Linked DNA regions of Arabidopsis thaliana. The protein of the gene in region 2 interacts with the protein of the main gene of each other region in a pairwise test. Each region holds a gene or a part of one and is shown on either strand. Other genes may lie near its edges. The genes, in order: AT4G25400 and GAMMA-H2AX.

The links.
Region 1: the proteins of GAMMA-H2AX (region 2) and AT4G25400 interact in a two-hybrid assay, tested with the Arabidopsis thaliana proteins (one large-scale study listed by BioGRID).

Annotation. Positions count from the first base shown.
Region 1 is NC_003075.7:12,975,628-12,989,330, forward strand, and holds AT4G25400 (basic helix-loop-helix (bHLH) DNA-binding superfamily protein), read left to right. Parts: upstream 1-5,409; 5' UTR 5,410-5,598; coding exon 5,599-5,769; intron 5,770-5,960; coding exon 5,961-6,353; 3' UTR 6,354-6,609; downstream 6,610-13,703. Other genes in the region: SAP10 (stress-associated protein 10), read right to left, coding at 309-701; AT4G25390 (Protein kinase superfamily protein), read left to right, coding at 1,864-3,819; AT4G25410 (basic helix-loop-helix (bHLH) DNA-binding superfamily protein), read left to right, coding at 10,145-10,369, 10,532-10,891, 10,976-11,056.
Region 2 is NC_003070.9:20,400,046-20,417,009, reverse strand, and holds GAMMA-H2AX (gamma histone variant H2AX), read left to right. Parts: upstream 1-1,722; 5' UTR 1,723-1,803; coding exon 1,804-2,010; intron 2,011-2,181; coding exon 2,182-2,403; 3' UTR 2,404-2,527; downstream 2,528-16,964. Other genes in the region: AT1G54700 (uncharacterized protein), read right to left, coding at 928-1,107; AT1G54680 (translation initiation factor 3 subunit I), read right to left, coding at 2,528-2,728, 2,812-2,907, 2,995-3,066, 3,141-3,284, 3,448-3,519, 3,599-3,691, 3,765-3,956; AT1G54650 (Methyltransferase family protein), read left to right, coding at 9,264-9,518, 9,890-9,999, 10,089-10,282, 10,367-10,416, 10,687-10,789, 10,865-11,007, 11,093-11,197; AT1G54640 (F-box family protein-like protein), read left to right, coding at 12,203-12,651, 12,830-13,118; ACP3 (acyl carrier protein 3), read left to right, coding at 14,091-14,147, 14,652-14,753, 14,853-14,975, 15,240-15,368; AT1G54620 (Plant invertase/pectin methylesterase inhibitor superfamily protein), read left to right, coding at 15,995-16,573. UniProt on the Arabidopsis thaliana protein: Variant histone H2A which replaces conventional H2A in a subset of nucleosomes. Nucleosomes wrap and compact DNA into chromatin, limiting DNA accessibility to the cellular machineries which require DNA as a template.

The DNA.
Region 1 (13,703 bases), on a different chromosome or scaffold from region 2:
GTTGTGATATTATGGATTTCATGTTCACAAGTTTTTGCAGTGTGATACAGAGCCGATACGTTTTGTTTAGGGTTTGATCAGTGAGTCGTGACAATAAAGTTTTGACAAAGTTCAGTTTTGTTTCTAGCTTGTGAATTTTTGGTTAATTTAATTGACCATTGAAATGGAAAGATGGCTTGCTTGTTTTGAATCTCTCTTCAGTTCAGGGTGTTTTGTTTAGCTAAAAGAACTTATATTATTACTGGTACAAAGAATTTAACAACATCAAAATCTTAGCCAAGGAATCTAAACATCTACGACACATATCACTAAAACCTCTGCAACTTGTCAGCTCTGATCAAAGGCAACTGTGTGGCCAAGGCGAGCCGTCCAGATTGTTTGTAATCAAAGGGACAAGAATGCTCCTCCGGATAACGATGTGACCCGCAAAACATGTGTCCACATCTACACTTGAATCCCAACATTCCTACCTTCCTCTTACATATCCCACATCTCCTTTTTTTGACCGGTTCTTCTTCAACGGCGGGACTATTCGTAGGAGGGCAACACTGTGATTGCTCGGTCTCGGGTTCGAATCTTAAAGCGGGCGAGTGTTGAAGAACACTCTTTTTGTAGCAGAGAGAGCATAGATTGTTGTTCACTCGGGTGCCGTAGAGTCCACAGCCTCCCTCGCATGGTAATGCTTCTGTTTCGTTCACCATCTTCTTTCTTCTACTTCTTGCGATAGTTGTTATATGAGAGTCAATATAATTCAATATTTTGTGTGAGCTCTATCAATGACTCTAAAATCTAAATATATAGAGGATGTCTATTGTTCTTAGTTCTTCTGGAATTGTGTAGTGCAATTAAGTTTCCCTTTTTTAATACAATTCGGTAAGTGTTTCCTCTTTTGTAATAGTCATCTACGTTCGATAAGTGTTTGCTAACGATTCTTATTGCAAGTTATTGATTTTCCTTTCCTCATATAACTAAGAAAGGAAAAGTTACAATAGAAACGCTGAGAGATATTTCATAATAAGGAAACTGAGAAGACGTGTTTAATCCTCTTCGAACAGTCATAAATCCAATAAAGAAAAACGTTGACTAATGTAAGAAAAAAAAGACAAACCAAATAAATAACTAATCCAACTTGATGATAATTTAGACAACAGCAGCTTCCTGGTAGTTTCTAAAACGTCGGTTCGTTTTCTAAATACAGAAAAGAGTTGCGTGCCGTTTTCACTATCTTAAGGAGTAATTAATTAGTTTCAAGTAAAATACCAAATTAGACAATTCCACATGGTGATCTTTGATGGCCTCCCCACCACCGCACGTGAATTTGGAATACCTTGTTTAGTTTCATTATCAAATTACACCTAAACGCGTTACTAATTAAATTATTTATTGTCTATCAAAAAGCCACGCAACAACAGTCTAGCATTTAAATCTTCACGTGGGTCTAACCCGGTTCCGGTTTCATTATCCGGGTATATGTTTTGGCTTCGTCTGAATTTGAATTTGAGTTTTCTCATTCAAAAAACGATAAATAAATAAAATATTGGTCAGTTATTCTTTCTATGGTTCTTGTTTGATATAGAAAGAATAACAGGTTTTGGATTTGTCTGTGTGTTTGGACTTTGGATTAGTATTCATTCGGTTTAACCAATCAAAATTCGCAACCTTAACACGTTATAAACCATGATGTAATGATTTAATCAATGATCAATTAAATGTATAGAAATTTATTTTCCATTTCCGCAACAGCTCAAAACGTTTTCTCTCTTTTCCGATTTTAGTCTAAAAACTGAAACAAACACAAAAAGCAACAATTTGTCTTTGAAAATCTCCTCTGTGTATGGTTCAGCTTCGGTTTACTAAATCTCTATGCCGTCACGATCAATCTCGGCACCGGTTCCGGTTCTTGCTCCGGCTCCGATCGTTTCCTCTTTAGTCCCAGCAGCGCCGTCAGGACATCAGAATAAGACAACGCGAATCTTTCCACCGTTCGTGGTGGCTGGAGCCGGCGCCGGTTTCTCTCTTTTCATCACTCTCTCCGTCTGTTTCTGTAAATTCAGCCGGAAACGTTCATCACCTCCGGCGGAAAACGCTTCCTCTTCGCCTCGGAGACCGTCGCCACGTGAGTTTTCATATTCGTCTCTCCGTCGCGCCACCGGTTCTTTCTCGCAGGCGAATAGACTAGGTCAGGGCGGATTTGGCGTCGTGTTTCGTGGAACTATCTCCGGCGGCGAGAATGTAGCTGTTAAAGTAATGGATTCAGGATCTCTTCAAGGAGAAGGTGAGTTTCAGAACGAGTTGTTCTTCGCCGCCAAGCTTGACTCGCCTCACGTTGTCCCTGTTATTGGTTTCTCTCATGATCGAAAACGACGACGTTTGCTTCTTGTTTACAAGCTTATGGACAATGGTAATCTCCAAGACGCCTTGCTTCACCGGAGATGCCCTGAGCTTATGGATTGGAATCGGAGGTTTTTGGTTGCCGTTAACATTGCCGATGGGATTAAGCATCTTCATAGTCTTGAACCACCTGTGATTCATGGTGATATTAAGCCTAGCAATGTTCTATTAGATAGTCTCTTCTCTGCCAAAATCGCTGATTTTGGTTTGGCTAGGTTGAAAGCAGAGCAAGTGGAGATTAGTGTAGCTCCGGAGCGTGATGGTGATGGATCTATGGTTGAAGAAGTAGAGAGTGTGGTAACTACTGTGACTGGTTATGAAGATTTTAACTTTGGGTTGGTTGATCAGTCTCCGGAGAGTGTTGCTAAGGTTCCTGGGTCTGTGAGTGCTTCTCCTGAGGCGACGACGGTTGTCTCTGTTTCTCCGGAAATGGGAGAGAAAACGGATGAGGATGGTGGTAGTGTTGTGGTGATGAAGAAGGGGAAAGAGAGTGAGAGCAAAGATTGGTGGTGGAAGCAGGAGAGCAATGTTGAAAGAGGGAGAGTGAAAGAGTATGTAATGCAATGGATTGGTTCAGAGGTAAAGAAGGAGAGACCAAGCAGAAGTGATTGGATTGAGGCGGCAGCTTTGTCTTCTTCGTCAAGTAAGAAACTTGAGAAGAAGACTAGCAAGAGACTAGATTGGTGGTTGTCATTGGAGGAAGAGGATGAGAATAAGAAGAAGAAGAAGCGGAGGATGGTTAGAGAGTGGTGGAAAGATGAGTATCGTAGAGAACTCGCTAAGAAAAGGAAGAAGAAGAAGAAGATGACTTTAGAAGCCGAGTTTTGTAGTGATGATGGGAGTAGTAGTGTGAGTCAATGGCGGCGTGGTAGTGGTAGTGGTAGCAGCATAGATTGGTGGTTAGATGGGTTAAGTGGTGAACGATGGTTGAGAGCAAGGGGAAATAGCCATGACTCGGTGAGCGGTGAGATAGCTAAGAGCTGCGGAATTAGTAGCACGCCGAGCATGAGAGGGACTGTGTGCTATGCAGCTCCTGAGTACTGTAACTTGGACAACAACGTGTCAGAGAAATGTGATGTCTATAGCTACGGTGTTCTGTTGTTAGTTCTGATTTCCGGGAGGCGCCCGTTGGAGATGACGGGCTCCGCGAGTGAGATACAACGGGCAAACCTCATGTCTTGGGCGAGGAAGTTGGCGAGAAGAGGAAAACTTGTTGATCTTGTGGATCAAAAGTTGCAAAACTTAGACCAAGAACAAGCAGTGTTGTGCATAAAGGTGGCTTTGTTGTGTCTGCAAAGATTACCGATTTCACGACCGTCAATGAAAGAGGTCTTGGGAATGCTTAAAGGAGAAGTGAATCTACCAGAGTTGCCTAGTGAGTTCTCACCATCGCCACCATTAAAGACAACGAGGAAGCAGCGCCGTTGACTAATTTAGGAATCATTTTGATTATTATTATTCAAGTGTTACACCGCTAGTTTTAGGAACTTTGATTCAATTTCACTATACTTTCCAATTTCTCTTTCTATAGTTTCACACGCATTATTGACATTGATTTTTTTTTTACACGTTTATACTTCGATGTCAATATGTCATACAACACTTCTTCAAATCGGAGTTGCTCGGGATTGGATTATTAGCAGAAAGAAAAGGCTAAAACTTTTTCCACCTCCAAAAGTCATTTAAAGGTCACACAAATCCTATGGGCCTAATCAGTTAACAAACCACTTCCAATCGAGTTAAATGAAATGAAGATACCAAATTGGGTCACGTTAGGAGTCAGCAGTTTGTGTTCTTTATATATGGACATGGGCCATCTTCGATTTTTCTTATTCGTTTCTACTTAAAATCACCAAGATTTATTGAATTTTTCTTCTTATTATTATTTGGCCCTTATATAGAGTATGGTCTATCCATAATTTGGCCCAGTTTTTTAAAAATACTAGATATTTGGAACATGCATGCTTTTTATTTTTAAATGTATCAGATTCAGATGAAACTCAATTATTAAAAAAAAAATCATACATAAACAGTTTAAAATATTTACTACTACTTAATTATTTTCGGATTAAGAAATCCCTTATAACATTTCATAAAACATAGTATTCTGCATTTTTTCAAAAAGTTGTTGTAATGTTTAGAAAACAAATTGAAAATGCAACAGTTTTTAATGAATAAATGCAAGGCGTTATAGAATGTTGGTTTGTTTTTCATTTTAAGTGTTTTTCAATATTTTAAATAATAACAACAACAAAAATCATTTGCTTTCGACTAGAAACAATGACTTATATCATTGCTTATACGAGTGCATGTTACAATCGTATGTGGCGGTTAGTCATCCTACTTGGCTCGATCGATGGTGTATTTGCTGAGGAAAGGGCTTTGTGTTCTGATTAAATTTGAGTTTTGATGGTAGTATGGCTTGAGTAAAGGTTGAGGATGTTGTTTCATTTTCATATGTCTGGCTCTTTCACCTCTTTGGTGGGTATGTGTTGTATCAAACAATCGTCTCTTAATACAATACCAGTTGACAAAAAAAGAGCAGTAACTAATTCTTATAAACTATAGTACATTATTTCCTATATATTTTATAACATAAAATAAATCATATTTTCTCATAATTTAAAGTGCTATTCAATGATTTTTAGGAATACGATCCAGCATATGGCCTTGCAGTCTATAGTATATATAAAAATAATTATATGGTACCTATGTCAGAGATATCTAGGATATATAGTAGATCGTCGTACAATTGATATATCATATAGTATGTGTATACAATAAGAAAATAAACATATAAATTGTACGATCTCTAAAGAATACTTTAAAAATGATAAATATTAAGATATGGAATGTTGAAGGGAACCTATTAAAAAGAGAAGAAATTAATGATGAAGCAGAAAGACGTCATTGCTTACCCTAACAAACCTCTCTCTCCATCTTTTTCCGATACGTCTACCAATAACTTAGTATTTTTTTCTCTTAGTTTTTAATATTATAACCAAACCCTTTTACTATCTTTTTTCCGACTCCCATATCTTTTTTTTTTCCGACTCCCATATTATTCAACTTTACAACAAATCCCTGACTAGAGCAAATCCCAGAGCACAAGATCAGATCCTTCTGTCTCATCATCATCATCATTATTATAATCATAATTACAAGAAGAATCGTTGTTCAAAATAATTAACGTATAACGACTTCTAGATGAATAATTTTCAGGAGAAGAAAAGAAGGCGTAGTAAAACGCCGAGAGTTTGTAATAACGAAGAAAACATGGAGAAGTTAGTACATAAAGAAATTGAGAAACGAAGGAGACAAGAAATGGCTTCTCTCTACGCGTCTCTCCGCTCTCTTCTCCCTTTAGAGTTCATCCAGGTCAAAACCCTAATTACTCTTGCTTTTAATTTCTTCCTCTTCTTCTTCTTTTTTTTTTGTTAAGGAAAAAGTCCACAAGTATGCTTTGTCGCTTAGTTTGTTAAAAAGATTCACTAGAACTCTAACACTCTATCATCACAATATCTCAAGTTGACCTCTACACCTTAATTACGTTTGATTTGGTTTTGTAGGGAAAACGTTCAACGTCAGATCAGGTGAAAGGGGCAGTGAATTACATAGACTATTTGCAAAGGAATATCAAAGACATAAATTCCAAGAGAGATGACCTCGTGTTATTGTCTGGACGAAGCTTTAGGAGTAGTAATGAACAAGAATGGAATGAGATTTCGAATCATGTCGTGATTCGTCCGTGTTTGGTCGGCATAGAGATAGTGTTGAGCATTCTCCAAACGCCATTCTCAAGCGTTCTGCAAGTGCTTCGTGAACACGGTCTCTATGTTCTTGGCTACATCTGTTCCAGTGTAAATGATAGACTCATTCATACTCTACAGGCTGAGGTACAATATCTCGAGCTTACTAACTTTACAGCAATCGAAGCATTACTAACTTTACTAAGAATATAGAGAAATACTTAATCATAACATATATTTCTAACTAACTTTACTAAGAATATAGAGAAATACTTAATCATAACATATATTTCTAACTTTGTTAATGTTTTCGATCTTGTCGGCTTACAAACGCGTTTATGTCCTAATTTGGAATGGAATATAGAATATAGCATACATCTTCTTCATAGCTTTTTGGAATGGCTTATTGTATCAGAGTAATGAATATATATGTTTGAGTTAATATGTGAAGTTGATTTGCCTTATGTTGAGTTAATATGTGAAGTTGATTTGCCTTATGTTGCAGGTCAACGATCTGGCTTTGATCGACTTAGCAGACCTTAAGGATACACTTACCCTGATGAAGTAATTCAAATAATCAAACGTTTTTTTTCAGTAGATTCCTTTTAACTTCTCAAACCAAAACGATGTATATATATGGTTCTTAGTACTTTTACTGTGTATTTATCTAGCTACTTTAAAGAATTTGTGCGTAAGAAACTAATGCTAGCTAGCTTTAATATCACAACCATCTCTTACATATTATATAAACTATGGTCCATCTAAACTTTTTCTTTATCATTGATGTTTTGACTATCTTGTTTATTCACAGAAAAAAATCTTCATTTTGAAAATTTGATTAAATATCTTATGAAAACAAATTATCTTTCAAGAAAATATATTAGTTTACTCTATCTTTTGTTCATTAGGGACAATGACTATTATTTTGAGGATTACCGCATGAGGCCTTCTTATTTCTAGACGTCTCTGCTCCTATATATAAGTCATATAACATTCTTATCTGAAGATGTACGTAATCTGTCGAGTTAGGATATAATTAAGAGAATGGTGGAATTTAATTCGTACACATAGAATTAATGGTATAATTAATTTACTATTGTTGGTGTGAGTAGCATCAAATAGATGATAGAATAGTATTTTGAACAAAAATTCTGATAGATAGTATAAGCCTTCAAACTAAAATTGTTTCCGGACGAATACACGAAAAGAAAAATGAAATAATATTAACTTTCTAAAAACTCATCGATTGATGGGTATACACAAAATGGTTAAAAAGAAAAAAAAATGATTAACAGATTTTGAGATTATATAATACTGAAAATTTGAGTCGGAAATTGATTTGCAATATGCAAAAGACAAGAAACATGAGGCAAAGGAAAAACCATTTTTCAGAGAAATCTAAACATGTGAAATTCGTTTTTCTAAAAGTAACAATTTGCGAATTTATCAGCGACGGATATTTTTTAAAAATAATATGTAATGTTTCTGTTAGAAAGTACTTTTGGTTGACAAAAAGAACTGTTACAAACTTACTTTGTTGTGTACGCACTGTTACAAAATTATCAAATTTGAATCTTGAAAATGGTTAATTAGGGTTGTGTGATACGCACTCCAGATCTGTAATCACAAATTAGCTAATGACTATAAAGTCGATGCAAAAAGTAAAACATAGGGAATGTATATTATATGCCGCTTAGTTGAAAACCGCTACATATCTATGATCGATTTAAATATTTGAACTCTGGAACTGTTGACTTTTCTCTTAGACTTAAATTTTGGTAAACAATTTCAGCAACTAAAATGAGTGAGAAAACTTGGTTGTTGAAAAAAAAAGAGAGAGTGAGAAAACTTTGGTTTAGTTTTCTACAGTGACCAGCTTTGGGGTTTTGGGCGGAATTAATTAGCCAAGTAGGGTCTAGAAAATGTGATCTTTTAACACATGGCCAAAGTCGTTTATATTTGGTGATTCTGTTTAAAACTCACAATTTGTTTTTTTCTTTTCTTAAATTTTGAAATCATATCTATTTAGAACTAAAGTTCATCATAAATTTTGATGACCCTAATAAATAATATAGCGTCAATATAGAGAACTTAGCTGGAGATATATTGTAAATATGTTGTTGTAACGATCTATTACGAATAACTATTGAAATACAATACAATTATTTAAAAGAGCAATATATAATTGTATAATTTACCACATCATTAGGATACTTCGCCCCAAACACATATTTTAATTCGTTTGAACGAACTTAAATAAAAAAAATAAAAAAAATCATTGGTTAAAACTTTTTATTGCAGAAATAATTGGTTGTTACTGTAGAAATAGCGGCTTCTATTCGCAACCGTCAGATATACAAGTCTAAAGAGATGTCTTTAGTTTAGTCGTGACTCCTACAAGGCATGTGTGTACGATCGCCTGATAGGGAATAATTTAACTTTGCATAATCCATATTTTCCGACAATCATCGAGTTGACATGATTCGACATTTGGTCATACACGTAAATATAACAACGTGCTTCTAATTTTAATTTTATAAGATTAAAACTATCAGATAGTACTTTTTGGGATATAGGAAAAATGCATCTCATGTAATAAAACTATAGCAGAAACGTGTCTTAAAAATAATTTACATAATAAATAGTTAACTTGTTTTATCATGACTATAATATGCAAACATTATTGCGGTTGTACGCATGTAATAATATTACTGTATATAAACTGTTATATACCAGCTCTTATAACTTTAAAACTCTATCCATTTTCTTAACGTAATGTATAGTATAAGTGAATGAAATTTTTCTCTTTTTACAAATTTATCTGGTTTATAAAAGTTGCTAATATCAGGCATAATATGGCTTATGGCGTATATTGAGCATATCAGCATACAACACACATCCCTAAAGAAAAGACTTTGGTCAAACATCCAACGAGATTATCTTTTATAGTATAGTGGCTCTTAATATGCGTATATACATATATATAAAAAACAAGGGATTCGTGACAGAGAAGAAGGATTTGCTTTGCCTTGAAAGGATAACCTTTACCAAAAGGATTATTTTTTAATAATGGAAACTGTGGAGGGATGTCATGGTTTTTATATTCAAAGCATATTATATTGAAATAGTATCTTCTTAAGAACAGTATATCTTTAGCATTATATATCTGATACGCAATGGATATGGACGTTTAATAAACATGTGAAAAGACTAGTTGCAGTGTGAGCAGGTGCAAATAAAAAGAAAGGATCGGAGCCCACATGCGACCATCGCAACATCATCAACGGTTGAGATTTGAGGTTTTGTTTTCATGTATCCGAATCTTAAGACATGGTTGCACTTTCACGTCGACATTTGTCAAATAGTTATATTCTCCAGTTCCTCCTAGTTGTATGAGAATATAATTTTGTTTTAGAGAAAATGTGCATTATGGTTTTTTTTTTTTTCCAACAGTTTGCGTTTTAGATACTAATTCTGTATTTCATGGAAAGAGATGGATTCGCAATGGTATTTCACATAAAGGAAATTTTGTGTTGGATGATGGTATGACAAAAGCTGTTTGGAGGGTATAAATTATTAAGTTGACATTAATTTCAAAAATTTATAATTATGTGTTTTAATTCTCTTAATTAAATAAACTGTAGAGGATTTTATTTTGTTATGTATATATATTGACTATAAGTTGTATTCTACTAGTTTGTTACAAATCAAGCCCGAGGCTCATCCCATAAATGAAATAAAAAAAAACTGATAACTATTTCAATTTTATTTAAAAAAAAAAAAAGAGTAATTCCGTAACCTGCATTATTTGGTCCTCCTACTGTGTATCTATTTAATATTTAAATAATGGTCCTCCCTCTCACCTAAGGAGACATAGAGAACCATCTGGTTCTTTAAGGCACCATCATTCAACAAGTAAACAATAAAGGAAATTAAATTATCACAAGACAGAACCACAAAATCCTTTGGAGATCTGACACTGGTAAAGCTCAAAGTGTCAAACTATGGATCCTTATAAGAATCTTAATCCAAAAGGTTACCAGAGACAGAGACCGTTTAGCTCAGCCGGCGAGAGTGGCGGCAGCGGCGGCTCCGGTACGGCCCATGAAACAGATGACAATAAGAAGAAGAAGAAGCTTCTCCACCGCGACATCGAACGCCAAAGAAGACAAGAAATGGCTACACTCTTTGCTACTCTTCGTACTCACTTACCTCTTAAATACATCAAGGTTCATATTCTTAATTACTCACTCTTTTCTCTCAAATTTATTTACTTTTTCGTTATATCAATTGTTCGAAGAAACCAAGATTTGGTGAGATTTGGCTGCTAGGGTTGTGAATATGTCGTTTTTTGTATTTAATTTAGTTTTGTATTTAATCTTTATTTATAGGGAAAAAGAGCTGTGTCGGATCATGTAAATGGAGCGGTAAATTTCATTAAGGACACGGAAGCACGGATTAAAGAACTTAGTGCAAGAAGAGACGAGTTAAGTAGAGAAACCGGCCAAGGATATAAATCGAATCCGGATCCAGGAAAAACTGGATCCGATGTAGGCAAATCGGAGCCGGCGACTGTGATGGTGCAACCACACGTGAGCGGTTTAGAAGTGGTAGTGAGCAGCAACTCCTCAGGCCCCGAAGCTTTGCCACTATCAAAAGTGCTCGAGACAATTCAGGAGAAAGGGCTTGAAGTCATGAGCTCCTTCACTACAAGAGTCAATGATAGGCTCATGCACACTATTCAAGTAGAGGTATGGTTGGTTACAACATGTCAACATGCCATGTCAATGGAAGTTAATCTAGGGTTTCATTACATTTAACTATATTCAATACAGGTTAATAGTTTCGGATGCATAGACTTATTATGGTTGCAGCAGAAGCTAGTTGAGGATTTGATACTTTCGACGGGGTACTAATCATGCAGAAACATACCATTCGTAGTCCTAAAGAACTTCCTCATCGTATGATCTCTTTTACCCGAGCTCTTCATTCGTTATATGAGCTTAGCTAAATAGAAACTCATTTCCAAATTATTGTCCTTTTTAGATGTGGTATTGAAGCCTTGCATGTTAGTGGATATAAAACAGTATTTTTTGTAGATATCATATGTTTGTTGCTCCAATTATTGTTTTCTTGTTCATGAACTTATATATACTTAGAAGTTAAGAACTAATGTGAAAGTCATATATAATTATAAACACTAGAATTTCACATGGTTCTAGTTCATATATCAATGGAAGACTAATATTAGCAATGTTCGATATGGTGTATTTTTGTTCATGTGTTTTACAACATTATAACTATGGTTGATGTTCTAATGAACTAATCTCACCGTATACTTGATGCAGAAAAAATCAAAGTCTTCTTGAAATTTCGTTATGAGAGCAAGGTGCATAGGTGTTAAAGTTCATTCATGGATTGAGGTGTAGCTTTGGTTTAAACAAGTTCAAGTGACTTCATGGGGTAGATCATAACTTCACCATGATTCGCCGCCGTAAAGACCAAGGGTCTGATGTTTTCAGTAGAGATTTTTTTTTTCTCACGGGCAAGCCATTTTTTTGTTTCCCTTTCATTATAACATTTTGTATCACTCCATTGTTAGGTTTTCTTGGGTTTTCTCGTATGGAAAATAAGTTTTTCTGTAATACATATCCATGAATCATTTAGACCTGTATTAGAAGGAAAATCCGGAAGGGCATAGTAAAATAAAGGCCAATACAATAGCATAATATATATATATCGCCTAGTTCTAACCAGATAAGTATGAAGCAAGGGTAGGTGAGAACCATCTTTTGGGCTCTATAATAGTCAGAATCTGCTAGGTTGTTTCTAGCCTACTATTCTCTACGCTATCAGTACCACATTGGTGAATTAGATTTCGATATTTTATGTGAATTGTTCACACATAAAACTGCGAAAATTGAGAAGTAACATAACTGTTATCTCTACGATATATATCAAAGATGAGAGACTATATATGAAGTAGTAGCACTAACCTCGATACAACCAATCCTTTGGGCGATTCGAAAGTGGTAAAATAGAAGTTCCAAATAACTAACAGATGGTAATACTAACCAGTAACCACACAATAAAAGATCGTTTGAATGTACGTGCATGAGTTGATAACCCTAACACAAATAAACATACATACAAATGCCATCACTATTTTGAAATTTTAAATAACTATTTAATTCATAAGCACAAGGCCTCACATCATCAAATGAGTAAATGACATAGCAAATGTGAAGTCAGACAAATTATTTATACAAGATTATGATATTTAATTACGATATTTTTTTCGGAAATAAGAAGCATATTACAAAATTGCCATAGATAAAAGCCTAAGATTCAATGCAGAGAACCACCTTTCTATTTTTAAATCTTGAATTTGCAAAATCTCACTTTCTTTTGTAGTTCACGATACGACACAGTATTATACATATCCCCAGAATCTTGGTTTCTTTTCTTTTCATACGTACCCATAAGCATATGAACAGATCGACCACATATTATTTAATAAAATCTCATTACTTTAGATCTAAATAGTCACTTTAATTAATACATGTCACGAACTTAAGCGAAGTTGACAGTAGTTCAAATGTTTTAAGAGATACGCATGATGAGTGGTTAAGATCTCACTAATATTCGTTTGATATCTTATATCATTATTGGTAATTTAATTAATTATCAACTAGGAGTCTTATTTTTTAATTTAAATGTGTGGTTGTTAAAAAATGTTTTTTTAAATCAAAACTTGAGATGCCGTCCAACAAATTCATGATCTTCAAATCGGATAGTGTTCCGATAAAGAAAATCCCAGACGATATATTAATGAGAATTAATAATATTTAAACCCATATTATTTCCAACTAGTTAACAACCAAACTAATAAATAACAACAATATTGAAAATAGAAACATTAACTCCATCTCATATCAGTTGAAAATATAAACTACATGACTCGAAGTGTTTTGATGGCATTAAGAAATGTTCAGTACATTAATTTCAAAAAGGGGATTACGTTATTTCTTTTTATTTCTTTTTTTGTCTTTTTCTAACAACATTTCACAAAAAGAGAATAACAATAAGAAGCCATAAAAAGGAAACCTTTATATTTTCTTCAGTTGGCTAATTTCGTCGATAATGTTTGTACACGGATCTAGTAATTAAACCAAAAATAAATAAAAATTCCACTGCAATAATTAGAGAGCAAGACATTAATATGTGTACATCTTTCCTACTTCTTACGTATAAGTATAGACCAAAACTTATTTTATTTGTGTGCATGTCCTGTGGTGTTTACTGTTTAATTTAAGCCCACTATTATATGACAGTGATTTGTAGCCAAACATATCCTCATGCACACGTTCACAATCATGTACTTCTCGATCAGTTGGTGTCATGTCCCAGAGATTCAGAAATGGATTTATCCAGTTTTGTATATCTGTGTTTCCAGTCAATAGATTATCATTTAAGGATGATTTCTCACCAACCCAATCCAAGATTTTTTGGGTGAACAATCGTTGTATATATGATACAAAAAGGTTCTACAAAACAAGTACA
Region 2 (16,964 bases):
AACTATGGCCAAAGAAAGCTCTAATGGAGAAGGGGTCACATACTAATCCCGTTTGCTGCAACTTTTACTCACTGATGATCTTTAATACCCTGAAAAAATAACATTTAAAATCAATTTCTTTTATCATCTGTTTCTGTAAATGCTTGTAAATGTAATGTTCATTATCAACAGTCTCTCGATTTCCATGGACTGTTTCTTTGTAATCTTTTTTTTTCGTGTAACTCTCTCTATTCATTCATCAAAAAAAAAAGAGAAAAAAAGGAAAAAAGCAGGCAAAAAATAGAAATAAAGATTTATTTCGTTTGGGTTTTTACTAATTGAGTAAAGGCATTGTATATTTTGTTGCATTGCAGTGTTATAATCTCATGTTTCTCTGCAGGGTTAAGAATACAACACCGAATTTTCTTAATCGCGTCAACTCAACTCTTTCACATTCTCTAATCAGACCTTAATATTAAATATTATCATTTAATTGTGAAATAAGTTCTCATTTAATAGATTTTAGTGGATATTTAAAACTTCCAAAAATCATAACAAAGTAACACATAGTCTAAAGCAATCTTTTTTCATGTCACTTAAACCCAAAATGTTTCCCATGAATGGTTATAATCTAAATCAAGGTCTCGATGTTGTTTTTAACGGTTTTACCACTTGAATTTCACAATCAACGTTGTTGGTTTACCTTGACTATAAAGATCAAAATTTTGTAGAGGCTATCAAAGGATTAAGGGACCGAATATTCACATGTTCAAAGCAATGAAACCATTTAAGTGCATCCACAACCTGTTTTCATAGAAAACTTTGCCATCATCTTCTACGGTCATACCATCAATCTCGAGAATGACGTCATTCTTCTTCACAAACTGGTTACCAAGTGCATGCTGATTGACCTCAGTCACTACAACACCGGTCATGATCTTCTTCATCTTAAGATACTTTCGCATCATCGCATTCTTCATCGACTGTAGAGAGTAAACAAAACCCTATCTTGTCTCCTTCATCAATACTAGCTAAGAATAGAATAATTTTCTTTGTACTGTTATTATTTTGATGAAGATAAACACCCTTGTATACAAAACATATCGACCTTGCATAAGTCGCAACCATTCCATGTATGCTATAATTATTTGTCAATAAATTCATTAGTTGTAACATGTGGTCAAAGTTTGAGTTTTAGTTGTTCACTCTTTTTTTTTTTTGACATAAGTGTTTTGACTTTTTAAGTTTGACTTTATAAAAACATGCAGAAATGTACAAAGAATATATACATATAATTATCTTAATTAATTTAATAACTATCAATCTGTCATACTACACCACTATCAATCTATCATCATCACCACCATTATGCTTGACAGTCACTTTTTAGTTGGCCCATGTTAAAGCTGTTTGTGTTATTTGTTATTGGGCTTATCCTTCACTACCATTTGATTGAAATTTATCTCATGACCCAACAAATTGAGCTAATTTCGGTTCAACATTGGATGTTAATTTTTTTTCAAACCGAACCGAATTATAGTTTTGGTGCATTTTTTCTAAACCGAATTTTAACACAAATAGTAATCGTCTTAAAAAATTCACCGACTTGTTAAAAAGAGGCGGAAAAAAAAACCCGCGAGAACTTACAATGGTGCCACGCTGGCAATCCGCGTGACTCACAACTAACCAATCAAAATCCATTATCTCAACGCTATATATTTCAGAAATCACAACCTAAACCCTAAATCACTCCACTCACAAAATCCTCAGCCATCTCTAATCACATTTTACAATCGCCTCTTCAAATTTCCCGATAAACAAAAAATGAGTTCCGGCGCCGGCAGTGGAACAACTAAAGGTGGCAGAGGAAAGCCAAAAGCTACAAAGTCCGTCTCTCGATCTTCTAAAGCTGGTCTTCAATTTCCCGTTGGAAGAATCGCTAGATTCCTTAAAGCCGGTAAATACGCCGAACGTGTTGGTGCCGGTGCTCCCGTTTATCTCTCCGCCGTTCTCGAATACCTCGCCGCTGAGGTAACAAACAATCTTCTGTTTGGTATTTAGTCTTTTAGTCTCTATGATGAGAATCACTCGTAATTGATATATCACTAGATTTTTCGATGTTTACCGAATCTTTGATTTTGATTTGATGTTAAGGTGTCTTCTAGAGTCTGATCTCTTATATGATGTTGATATAATCATTAGGTATTGGAGCTAGCTGGAAATGCAGCAAGAGATAACAAGAAGACACGTATCGTACCACGGCACATTCAGCTTGCAGTGAGGAACGATGAAGAGCTTAGTAAACTTCTTGGAAGTGTAACAATTGCTAATGGAGGAGTTTTGCCCAACATTCATCAGACTCTTCTCCCATCAAAGGTTGGAAAGAACAAAGGCGATATCGGATCTGCTTCTCAAGAGTTTTAATTTTATTTTTTAGCTTGTAACATAGACATGGCTCTCTGTTCCACAATAGTTTTGGTATTTTCATGTTACTCAAAAACTGTGTTTGCAAATCCAGTAATGAATTCGGTTTGAAGAAGTGAAATAGTTAAATTTGATGTGTTGAAATAGCGGATTCAATGGCTTCAATACAAGTGCTAATAGGTTTGGCTTTAGCCATGGTTTCTGCAAGTGAGACTCTTGCTTCTTTGTGAGAATGTAATAATGAGACAGTGTTGGAAACAGCCCATTTGATATGAGCCTCCTTTTCTGATTCTGTGAAGCCGAGCCACCGCAGAACATCGTTCAACTGCAACACTCAAATCTCAAAAAATACATTAGAAGATTATAGTCTCATGACTATGAGTGGAAGGAGACTTGAGTTTGTATTACCTTGACAATATCTGAGTATAGCCCTTCTGAGTATCCGAATAGTATATGTTCTGTTACCATTCCTCCAAGTATCACACATGAAAAGTTGTTCAGTGTCTGCATTCACAGATTTGACCAATCATTACAGAAACAGCTTGAGCTAAAGAAAAACACTCATTACAGGTCCATTTGAGGAAATCTTACCTTGGATGAGATATTGCCTTGGTTCATTTGGCCGTCGACATCATCTTTCATAAGCTGGTTTGCAGCACCGACCTGCGGTGATAACATAAAACTCTTGTGGTTGGGAACATACACAAAGCTGACCATTTGTTGAGCAAACTACTTACTTGTTTGAGGAATTCAAACCCCACAAATTCTACTCTCCCGGTCACATTCGACACATTCTGCCTAACAGCTTCCAAAGTTGGTATTTCATAGTGTCTTGGGAGAACTCCAAGCAAGTAACCAACAAGAAAATGCCCTGATTCATGCTGCAGACGTCGCAGAAAATCAATTTATATATATTTGCCCATAAAGGTACACCACAAAAAGTTCTATTTGATTTGGTCTCATTACCAAACAACATTTGTGATAAAATTTCACTTTGCAACAATGTTAAGTTCTAGTTTTATTTGACAACTAAGAGATCTTCACCTGAACAACAGAGAACCAATCTTCTTCAGGTGAAGTTTTAATTTCCATCTCTTTGGATGTTCTCACTGAATCCTACAAAAAAAATAAAAAAAATTAAGGTACATGAAATTACATGTGTTTATTGGTAAAACACTGCAAAAATTGAAAGTACCTCTTGGACATAAACAGATTCAATACTTCTGGAGACAGAATCAATCAACGACCTGAGATCAGTTTTGCTACTCATGTCTAATTTCTTCGGAAGCTAATTAAAAAAAAAAAGGAATTAGAGATGATTTATTGGCAAATAAGCATTAAGAGAGAGATGCGAGAGAAACCAATTTAGCAGAGCCAAAAGCAGATAAGCAGCCATGTTTGCTCTTGAGTTGTTTGACGAGTGAGAGAGCAGTTTCGTAATTGCCTCTTAAGAGTTCTTTATCCACTCTTTCAAGTGATTTCCGGCGGCGGTCTACCGGAGATTTAGATCCGAGCACCATGACGCGGCTCGCTTGGAGATAAGAAGAGTTCATGTTGGTTTAGATATTCGAATTTATAAAACGTGAAGCATTGTAACTCAACAACTGGGGATGTAGCTCAAATGGTAGAGCGCTCGCTTTGCATGCGAGAGGCACGGGGTTCGATCCCCCGCATCTCCAAGTTTTTGGACAAATTTTGTATTTTATATTTCGTTCTAATTAGTAATCATCTTCTGGAAATTGTGTAGAAGAAAAAGATTAAAAAAGCATTGGGATTATGAATTCGAAGGCTTTTATTAGTGATTTTTAATTCGGTTTTTTTATTATATTTTTATTGACATTCTAGATTTTAACCCACTACAAAATTATAATCAATTTAAAAGCTTTTTTCAAATAGTTATTTAATTTTTATAGATTTCACATATTATATAAAAAAAAGAACAGCCTATTAAATAGAATTTACATTTTTAAAATCTACATCAAATGTTGAACTGTTTAAAAAACGAAGGAGTTTCAAATATGAATTTCTTTCCACTTTATTTGAAACAAATTTTGTTCCTCGACTCTTGATTATTATTTGCCTTCAGCAATCACAGCAGAAAACCCTTCTCCTAGACATTCCTCGGGGGCAGATCACACCACCTTGGAAACAAACAAATAGCACATGCAGGCATGCAGCAACACAGACAGGCGTTCATCCCTCACTTACCTGCATACATCATGGCAACTTGTTCCCATCTCACCAGTCACCTCACTGTAGCGAGTAACAATTCGGTCCATGTGCTGGCTTGGCATGGAAGGCAACCCTTTCTTTTTAATTGTTATGTTAATATATGTAAGAAACTATAATGACACTTACAATGATTGATATGAGGTAGGGGATATCATATTAGTGGCGCATATCATATTAGTGGCGCAATTAAAGAAGCTTTAATGTGTCGCCGCCATTTAAGCCTAATTCAACGGGCTGATGGACATAAAATATTAAAATGATTTTTTTTTTTGTTTTGTTTTCGTCAAAATATTAAAATGAATTGATTTTGCTCTTTTAGTAACCGAAGAAAATCTGTCACTTGTCTATTATTCCCTCAATTTTATTTGATTTATAGTTTAAAGATTTTTCATACAAATTAAAAGAAAAAACATAAAAACCTTCTTTAATATATCTATTTTTTATAAAATATTATCAAATAAAATTAATTCGAAAATATACTATTAAATATAATTAGTTAAAACTATTAAATATATTTAATTTTTGCATAAAAAAATATAAAAGCAACATTTATTTTGTAACAAAAAAAAACACCTTTAAACTAGAAATATATTAAAACAGAGGGAGTACTAGAAAAGTAAAATGGCCAATGTGTTCATATCTATCGTGTCGGCTAAGAGTCCCAATCAATGACTCATTTTTACACGCCTAAAAGAAAATACCATAGAAATAAACAAAATTAAGATAAAGGTTACTAAAAAAAGAAACACCAAAAGAAGAGAGGGAGGCTCATCTCCCTATATATGGCCTCTATATGTATCAAGTGCAGCCACAGTTTTACCAAAGCTTTAGAAAACCTTGAAGTGTGATTATAGATACACTTTTATTCAGAAAAAGAACTTAAGCATGCAGGAGCTGATAAATACTTTGTCAGCGCTTACGACTGAAGAAATATATCGGCCATTAGCGGATTTTCCGGTGAATATATGGGAAGATCCCTTGATCTCTTTTTCTGTTTTGGATCCGGTACGTACCCACACGACTTGAAGTCACAATTAGGCAAATTTGTTCACAAAACACTATGAATATACTCTATATTATGATGTCTTCTCTCGTGCCATTATTTTGATGTATATAGGAGAGTGAGATAAACGAAGAGAAGCTGAGTTCACTAAAGGAAACCGTAAGAGGATTGTTAATGGCTTCAAAAGAAGAGCCGATAGAGAACATCAAATTCATTGATGCTCTTTGTCGCCTTGGTGTTTCCTACCACTTTGAAGTAGACATCTTCACGCAGTTAGAGACGATGTTTGGTGTCATGGTTTTATGCAGATGATAAGAGGCAATGAGTTCGATTTATACACCGTCTCCCTCGTCTTCCAAATTTTTAGACAATTTGGCTATAAACTTGGTGTCGGTAAGTCACTCTAATGTTAGAATTATCGAGCGTAATATGTTAATTAATTTATCAGTATGAATAAGTTTCTTATTTATGTTTCCATATTTTTTGGGTTAAAAAAAATTTGAATTGATATTACTAAGAAAAAGTCATGAAAGAGAATGTTGCTAATTGTTAGTAGTATTTTGTTTTTGGTCTAAGAACTATATTACATTTTGGTTAATGTGAAAACTGACATAAGTATAGCGAGCGTATTTTTTCTTCTTTTTCAACTTCACCTAATTCGATCATATTAATACTGTGGAAGCGCAAGGTATACTCACTTTGTACTCTCTGTGCATAATGATTAGTAAATCTACCAAGTCAATGTTAATTATTAAACTTGATTACTAACAAAAAATTATATGTGTAAGATGTGTTTAACAACTTCAAGAATAAGGATGGAAAGTTCAAGGAGCACCTAGCTGAGGATGCAAGAGGTCTTTTATGCCTTTATGAAGCTGCACATTGGAGCACCCATGGTGAAGACATTCTCGATGAAGCTCTTGCTTTCTCTAGGTCTCATTTGGAAGGACTGGCTGATCAATCTAGTCCACCTATGTCCATCCGCATTAAAAATGCCCTCAAACATGCATACCCTAGGGGTATATCAAGGATAGAGACACGACAATATATCTCATACTATGAAGAAGAAGATCTGCACGACCAAACCTTGCTAGAATTTGCTAAGATAGATTTCAATCTTCTGCAAATTTTGCACCGCAAAGAGCTTTGCCAAGTCTTCAGGTGCCATTATGAGCTAGCAAGATAGATTATATATACATTTTAAAACTCTTATATATGGAGAGACTACCATAATGATTGTCGATTCTTCTTTTTTTGTAGGTGGTACTCAAATCTAGAGCTCGACTTGAAAGTACCATATGCAAGGAATAGGACTGTCGAAAGCTACTTGTGGGCTGTTGGAGCATACTTTGAGCCCCGATATTCTCAAGCAAGGATTAGATTGGCCATTGTTGTTATCTTATTGACTCTTGTTGATGATACGTACGATGCATTTGGCACGATTGAGGAACTCGAACCATTTCATTGATTATGTGGAATCCTAGCGGCATAGAAGGGCTCCCGGAGAGCATGAGGTATCTTCATCATGTGGTGTTAGATTTCTACGGAAAACTTGAGGAGGATATGGAGAGGGAAGGAAGGTCAGGATGCGGCCTTTTCGCTAAAAAATCGGTATTACTAAATACTTATATACACAACTACTTCAAAAGCACAAAACTAATTAGTAATTAAGTACTAAGTCTATGTTCATGTGTGTTGAATCTAAATGAAAAATTTGTTGGTTATATGTTAATAAATCAGATGATTGTAACTGCTAAAGCCTATCTTCAAGAGGCAAAATGGTTGAGTGAAGACTTTGTGGCAACATTTGACGAGTACAAAGAGAACGGAGTTTATTCATCGAGCTACTTAGCTCTGTTAACAGGATCCTTTCTAGGGATGGTGGATGAAGGCACCCTTGATGTGTTTGAATGGTTAAGCACTTTCCCACCCCTTCTTGTGACTTCTGCACTAATAGGCCGTCTCTGTGGTGACATTGCTAGTTGCGAGGTAATTAACTCACATTATTGTAGTGATGCCAATAAGTTAATAACCAGTCTAGTTTGACCTATCGGATCCTAAATGACAAAGATATTGCTTCTAAAAGATTATATTATTAACTAGATTTTGACCAGAGTAGCCATGAATCAGAAAATTTAGGAAAGATAGGAGAAAATTTATAGATTTCCACAAACAAAAGACAAAAATTCAGTAGCATATGTAGTTTGGGGAAAAACATGAAACAAATAATAATAACACAAAATCTGAAAGGAGAAAAAAATTAAGACAGGAGTTTTGTCAGTGAAAGAGAGATATCCGAAAGAATGAGAAAGAAATCAATGTCATTTAAAAAAAAACATGTCATACTGAAAGAAAAAAACAATGTCATGTGTAAAATTTTGTCTCCATGCTTTCGGAAGGAATAGCATGTGATCGTAGTATATAACATGTACTATGAGAAAGCAACATGTTACAAAAGAAAATGACACACATTACTACATTAGAAAAAGAACATGATATTTGACGTTGGACATTCCAAGAGAGATTGAGATCCAATTTCTTGTAGAATTCGAATTATAATATCAGACCTAAGAACTTAAGCTGTAGTTGACACTCTACATACAAATACAATTTTTGTCACCACGTTGGTGTAAAGATAATTTTAAAATCTGAGATCTATCTAATGCAGTTTGAACATAAGAGAAAGCACGTAGGAACATCCATTGATTGTTACATGAAGCAATATGGTATTTCATGGGAAAAAGCCGAAGAAGAGATCAAAATCATGGCATTGGATTCATGGAAGAGTCTTAATCAAGAACTGATGACGAGAGATCACTCTTTTGCTTTCCCTATCGTCATGCGATTCCTAAACCTCTCGAGGGTCGTCAAGGTTTTGTACAAAGACACTGACATTTTTACACATCCTGAGTTGATGAAACATCACGTGGTTTCTTTATTCCTTAACAGAATATCTATTTGAGCAGAACTATACGACAGTGCAAGTTGTTTTTTAGTTTCTCCGTTTTATGTTGTGTGGATGGATATTAGCCGTTTTCTAATATCACACTGTGCGTTTTTTTAATTTTTGTGTGTGTTTCTAATCTTCAATATGACGAAGATTAATATATGTATAGCTGTGTTTCTAATGTGTACATGTTGAATAAATATGTGTTAGTTTTATTTTCAATAATAAGCATGGTTTGATTTCTATAGTTTGAATTTATTGGGTATATCATATTAGACCACCTAGAATTCAACTTGAAAACATCCAGCGCTTAAACAATTTGACTTCACTCCTTAGGGTATCTCTTTTTGTTATTTGGAGATGTTAATTTTGTGATGCGGTACAATACGAACTTAAATTTTCATTTATTTTACTTAATTCATGTTTTATTTAATTTTTTTCATTATAAGTAACATTATATAAATGTGCAATTAATGAAGATTTTAATCTATATCAAACGACTAAAATCGATCCGAAGAAACCAAACCATATATACATGAACCGGAAAAATGAAAAACCAAAATTGAAAAACCATATCAAACGAAACCGAATCAGAATTGAACACCCAAAAGCCAAAACCCTAATAAATCGTTCAATCAAACCGTATATACTGGTTTTCTAAAAAATATTCGGTTTAGTATGGTTTTTCCCGGTCCGTACTTCTCAAAAGAGAAAATACTTGCAGGCATTGAACAAACAATGGAGAAAAGAGAAGAAGCAGGAGAGTATCATTCCAAAGATTTCGAATGGGAATTTCTCAAGAACATCGTCGAGAACGATCCTTCTCTCTCCCACCATCTCCACCACCACCACCAAAATCTCTCCAAATATTTACCAGATTCGCAGCCATGGCAAGATTTTCACTCCCGTCACTCCTCCGGAAAATTCTTCAAGGTACTACACACACATCACTACTCCATATCTTGTAATCAGCTCTTATCATTTACAATCGAAGAAAAGTTTGAATTAGTAGTAAAAATTTGCTTCTGAATTTTTTGAGATGTAGAGAGATTGATTAATCTTAGGATTTGGGTAAGAATGATGTTATTGTTGGAACATTTTAAACAAGTGGCTCCGGCCAACTTTCCGGTTTTCCGGTGAAGTTCATCACCGGAATGACCGGATCATGGAGTCTTTGGATTCCTTCGTAATGAGCCTTATTAGATGTAAAAATTGAAGTTATTTTGAATGAGAAATTGAGTGTTTTTAAATCTGGATTTCGGGGTCCTACATTTCTTCGTCTTGGCTGGCTGGTTTTCGTGTAGGAAAGAAGGTATCTGTTGAAGGAATTTCCTGAATTAGTTTCTTGTGGAGAGAACTCAAAACTTTTGGAAATTGGTTGTGGTAATGGCAGTACCGTGCTTCCGATTTTACGGTATAATTCTTTCGATCTTCGCCGTATTATTCTTCCGATTTAGCTTTTTGGAGTTAACCTTTATGTGTTTTATCTTTGTTTTTGTGTAGTGGAAGCAAGAACATTACTGTGTATGCTTGTGATTGTAGCAGTGACGCTCTTGTTAGGACTAAAGAGAACATTGATCGCGCTATTTCTTCGGTTGATAACTTTCATTCTTTTTGTTGTGACTTTTCGACTTCTGAGTTTCCAGATTGGGTGGCATGTGATCGTTGTCGAGACAAGTTTATGCTTAACCACTCAGGTTTTGGTCTCTCTGTAGCAATTTATCCATACACATTGTTCTCTCATACACGTCCTAGCTAATCTTGTATATCTTCATTAATAGGAGGGAGTGAGAGCAAACATTGCATCGGTGGGGTGGATTTTGTCACTCTGGTATGTGAACATCGCTCATTTAGTTAAGAGGAATAACAATGCTCACTGTAGGAAACAGTAATGTCAGATATTCTGCAGTGGAACTAGAGTAGTTGATCTCATGGTTTTTATAATGTGGTTATAAGATAGATGTGAAACTGAAATTTATGTTTCTAATCTTCTATGATCTGATTCTTAGCTATTAGGCTTTTTACAGATGTGTTATATGCTCTGCTATGTGAACATTTCTAATCGAAACGGTTGTTATTCCAACTTTTTATGTTATGTCAGATATTTACATTGTCGGCAGTGCCTAAAGAAAGAATGCCGAGAGCTATCAAGGAATGCTTTGCTGTGCTGAAACCTGGTGGTCTGCTCTTATTTAGAGATTATGGTAAGGTCACTATTAAGAGCTGTATCACATATGTTTACAAATAAAGAGAAACTAATAGGCTAAACACCTTGACAGGATTATATGACATGACTATGCTACGGTTTGAGCCAGAGAAACGTGTAGGATTTAGGGAATATGTGCGGTCTGATGGAACCCTTTCCTATTTCTTTTGTCTCGACACTGCCAGGAAACTATTTACTGATGCTGGATTCATTGAGGTAAACTTTCTTTTTTCAGTTTTTCTATTCTTTGTTGTGATTGAATGAATAACAAATCTTATGATATTTTGATTCTCGTGTATAGGTTGAGCTTGAATATTGTTGTGTCAAAGCAGTAAACCGGAGAAAGGGTAAGGACATGTACCGAGTTTGGGTTCATGGGAAGTTCCAAAAGCCCTTCTCTAATTAAGTTGAAACGCAATGCTCTATCTGTGAAGAAGATTGCAGAGTCTAGTGTTTGGATTATCTTTACACTGATCCTCTCATACTAAGTTCACGTTCTTTGTTCTCTAATTGTAACCTCACTTGTTCATATATTCAAAACCATATTCATAAGACTCTAGTCGTCAAATCATTGCAGATCAAAACTAAATTCGTTTTTTTTAGTGTAAGATTTTTCTTGCGAAACAATCTTTGAGTTTCATGATCTCTCTTCTTCAAGCAATTCACAATGTTCATGAACTTCATGTTGGTTTGAAGATATTGGAATTTTTGTTCTCAAGATACGCTAATGTTGAACTAATGTGCTTGATGATAGACGTCCTTGAGCACACTCTGTTATTGACAAACGTGTGACTTTTGAGCTAAGAGTAAGTTAATTATAATCTTTAAAGTTTAGATGAACAAATCCGAACCATACCTTCAAATTCACCCATCCCTGGTCACGAATCAAATTTGTAAAACTATATCAAAGAAATTGAGATATTTGATAAGAGAAAAATCATAAAAAGTATATTTTTTAAACTCAAAAATCTATTTCCAAACTTTAGGTAAAACTAAGATATTATTGATAATTTCAATAAACAAACAAATGAAGCAAATCAAGTAAATAATTATATTGACTGAAGAAAAAAGTAAGAAATCAATTATATAGTTATTTTAATGATGATATGTTCAACAAAAAAAATTGTTCTTTTAATGATGAGGCTGATTTTAAAGATTGTATTTGCTTATGTGGCAGTATAATAAATTTTATTTGATATATACAGATTTCCAAATCTATAAACAATTTAGAAGTAATAACTAATAACTAAACAATTAGTTAAACATGTAAGCACGCTCTCAATATTAATAAATAAGCAATCTATAAAATGAATTGTTGTTCATAGTCATAAGCTCTATATAAAATAAGCAATCAATATCCTTTTTTTTTCTTGATTTTCACCAAAATATATCTGTTTTGATCAATTTTCCTATGTCGAATCAACAATCATCACATCTCATTTCATTACACAAAGATGGTTTATACCGTCTAAACCTCAACGAAACCACGTTGTTGAAGCTAGACTTGCCCTTTACATTACCGGCCGAAACCGAACCTGTCTGTATTCTTCATTGTCGTGGAATGATGTGTCTGACCCTCAAAGAAAACAATGACCTAGCGATTTGGAAACCAGGTTCGGAGGAATTCAAGAGAATACCAATGGTTATACCGGGCCAAACCACAAATCTATTGGGATTTGGTTATGACCGGATTTCTAATGATTACAAGATTGTAACGAAAATTGGTTTCAAAACCTATATCTATGCTTTCAAAGAAAGCTGTTGGAGAGAAAGTGTACCAGATACTTCTCTTCATCGCAAATTCATAGACCGGACCGGTACGGTTGTGGATAGCAGACAGGTCTCACACCAAAAACCCCCGTAGGAAAAACACCATCCTCTGTTTCGATTTCGCCAAGGAAGAGTACCAAGAGCTATTATCTCCTATGCACACGGAGTCGAAATACAGTTCATGGTTAGGGGTTTTAAGAGGAGAGCTATGTGTTATCGATCATTACCCAAGTCTAAATAATGACATTTGTCTATGGCGTCCGCATAGAAAAGGCAAGGAGATCATGCATTGGAATATCGACCCGTGGAAGGAAAATGTTAAAGCGTTCAACATTTTAAATGTTGGTTTAGCGTGCTTAGATAGAAACGGAAATTTTGATGTTGGTTTTGCGTGCATAGCAAGAAACGAAGAACTCTTCCTAGTGGTGAAAGGTAATGGAAGAAGAGAAGACAAGGTTATAGTGTATAACGAGAGGCGAGAGGAGTTCACTGAAGTTCCAATTGGTGGTTCTTTGAAAGGGTTTAGATGTATGAGTATATATGACAATCGTTTCTAGTTATGTCAAGATTAAGGAGATTATAGATTGGTTCTAATTAAGTATGCAACAAATATCTTATGGTTATTTCATTCAATTTGAAAAAATAAACTGTATAAGTTTATGTATTTTAACAATTAATTACTGAGTAAAGACTATAAATATGATCCTATATATAAAAAAGTTAATTTGTGTTGTTTCGTATAAATAAATGATATATCGAACAATAAAAAAGCATTCCACTATTGTGCATAATCAGACACATGAAAACAGAAATAACAGATTCTAATAGATATTTTAAATTTTTTGATTTAAACGCTTAAGCCAAAAATCCTCTATATCTCGGTTAGATGTTTTAGGCAATAGGCGATGGATCACCGTTCGCTTAGCATTTATAGCGGTGAATCACCGTTAGCTTAACATCTAGCATTTGTTTGGAACATATTAATCCTATCATTACAAAAAAAATTGGTAAAAGAAATTTACTATCAAATTTTTACTATTCATATTTGGTAGGAAATTAGTAGAAAATTCCCTACAAAATAGTTGTAAAAATTTGGTAAAAAATATGAAAGATGCATTAATTTGTTTTAAGGTATAGAAATAACATGTTAATTTTTCTTACGTTTATGATTTATCGTGTGTTTTTCATAAAAAAAAAGTTAAGAAGGTTGTTTATTATAATTCCAGTAAACTATCGTAATTGACTAATTGTTTTATTTCGCTTTAAGAAAAAAAACAATATGTTTGGATTTTTTTTCCGAATTTGTTATTTCTCTACCTGCATCTGCCAAATCACCCACCTCACCTGACTTGTCTGTCTGAATTCTCTCATTGGAATCTCAGAAAAGTTTTTTTTTTTTTTTTGTTTAGGTTAAAATACTATAAAATTAAAAATAAGTCTCCCACTTGGATTCTTCACTGTGTCTCACATCTCTTTGTCTTCTCCGCCTCCTCCGATCTCACTCCGATCTCTCTACGATTCATTCTTCTATGGCTTCCATTGCTACTTCTGCTTCTACTTCTCTCCAAGCTCGTCCTCGTCAACTGGTCTCTCTTTTCTCTTCTTCCCTCGAATCTCTCATCTTTTTCTTACTGAATTTTTGTCGTGATTTCTCCCATTTTGCTATAGATCTGATCTGATTCATCTCGACCTAGTTGTTCTTCTTCTTCTTCAACTGTAGATCTAATTCGCAGAATCGTTTTCTCATCTCTATATTGATCTGTTGAAATTGCTCTGTAATTCATTTTTTGTCCTGTAATTTTTTTGCATTGAGGTAAGTTAGTTTTCGTTTTCTGGAATTTTAGGCTCTGTTGAACCTATTTTACTTAACTCGGTCGAATCACCGGAAAAATTATCCTATTCCTCTTCGAATTGGATTTGTTTTATATCTGAATTTGAATAGATTCGAACTCTTGGTAAGAGCATGCGGGTTACATAGATTTTAGTTGCTTTTGTTTCCTTCTTTTGGTTTGTTTCAGTGCAAATATATTGCTTTGCATTTGGAGTTTAGTTTTGTACTGATGGAAAGTTATATTCGAATATGATGGCAGGTGATTGGGGCTAAACAAGTTAAAAGCTTTAGCTATGGAAGCAGAAGCAATCTTTCTTTTAATCTTCGCCAGCTTCCTACCCGCTTGACTGTTTACTGCGCTGTAAGACCTTGTCTCTTCTCTCATATGATGTTGTTTCTATTTTACTTTTGATCTCTCGAGCCAATTCATCATTCACCATTGTTGATTGTTGATAAACAGGCAAAACCTGAGACAGTGGACAAGGTGTGTGCAGTTGTCAGAAAGCAACTCTCACTCAAAGAGGCTGACGAAATTACCGCTGCCACCAAATTTGCTGCACTTGGTGCTGATTCCCTTGATACGGTAACTACTTTCTCATGTCTAATAATTGGATTCAACTTTTGAAATGGGATTGTTCATTGGACTTATTGATGCATAATCAATGCCTCTTTAAACTTGTATCCTGCTTTCAAGCTCATATTGTCGAATGTTTAGATTGCAAGTCTTGTGAAGGATCGCTGCTTCTCCTTATACACACATCTCTAAACATGTTACTGAGATACACATACTCATGATTCTTGTTATATTGTTATGGACGTACTCATGCTTCGTGTGTCGGGGTTCCAGGTGGAGATAGTTATGGGATTAGAGGAAGAGTTTGGGATTGAAATGGCGGAGGAGAAAGCACAGTCTATCGCCACAGTTGAGCAAGCAGCTGCACTCATTGAGGAGCTCTTGTTGGAAAAGGCCAAGTAGAAAATCCTTTACTACATTAGCAAAAACGAAAAAAACCAAAACCCAAACCACTATCTTCTTATTGTTTGGTTAGCTAGAGAGCAATTGTGTCCGTTGAGATTTTATGCTATTTTCGGATAATTATTACAAGGCTTGTATTTTAATATTTACTTTCGTCTGAAACATTTTACTTTCACCTTTAAAATATTAGTACTTTCTGGTATTCAAACATAAGTTTTAAATAATATAATATGGTTGATGATCTAATGAAAGATTTGAGTGCTTGACATTTTTTTGTTTCTTTATAATCTAGAAGTTTTGTTGTCCGAAGATTCCAAAATTCAGGGGAAGGGGCATAAACATTTTTTTTCTTACCTCACTTCTTTTGCTATGCAAGTTTAAAAAAAATATTTTTGCTATGAATCAAACGAAATTAGAGATATCATCGAAATGTCTAGAGTAATGATTCTTTTTAGGCAATGAAGATTGACCACAAAAGAAGGCAACGAAGTAAGCGGAGTGGTAATGCATGACATGAGTCATCTAAAAAAAGCATTTGTTTGAATAACACTCTCATGTTAGAAGACTTCTGTGTTGCTTATAAATAGGATCACATGTTACTATAACTATTCAATCTATTACCTCTAATGTTTTGCTTCCAAAGAAAAAAAGAAACAATGAAGTTCTTGATTTACCTCGTTGTGTTTGTTCTTCTTTTCAATGGTTTGACGGCCAACAGAGTGGAAAACTCTCTGGTTCAGAAATATTGCAATCAAAGTTCAAAGTACGCGGAACGATATTTCTATAAGTTTTGCATTGCATCTCTCGAAGAGAATGCGGAAAGTCAGAAAGCAAGGAATAGCAATGATTTAACATTGGTAGGAACGAATAACGCTTTATCAAACCTAACAAACGTGAAAAGAATTGTGGAGAAGATTTTCAACGAGAGAAAATATAAGGGCAGGCTGAGTAAGAAGTTGTTGCAAAAGTGCCTTAAGCTTTATTCTGAAGGCTATGACGCGTTAACCTCAGCTTTGAAGTACATTAAAGTGAGAGATCTGTTTAAAGTTTCGGTTCATTTGCAGAAAGCAAAAGAAGCACCAAGCATTTGCGAAATGGGATTCAACGGCGACAATAAACAAATATCTCCGATGAAGAAAGAAAACGATGTTCTTTTCGACGTGATCAATATTCCTTACAGTTTTAATATGAATCGACATGGTTAGATTAGCGCCTGAAAAGGAACCGGAGGTTGCATGAGTTTTATTTTAATTGAAAAAAGTTATGAAAGACAAGCTTAGATCTGTTAATCAAAATGATATTTAGTATTTACTAAAAATATATATGTGTGTGCATGTGTTGAGAATGTTTTGTTTAGTTCTCATAATCAACATGATAATTACGGTTTAAATTAAAAGATTATATCCATGGATTAACTACTCATAGAATATCCAGTTCATATCATTTGCATTTTTTCCTTTTCTTTTTTGATAAAAGCAAATATTTTTGCTATATATTACAAAAGTATATAGATCAAATAAGTCAATCTAAAATACCTACAGTTTATAAATTATTATCTAAGAAACATTAAAAAAATACAAAAAGTTTCATATAAGT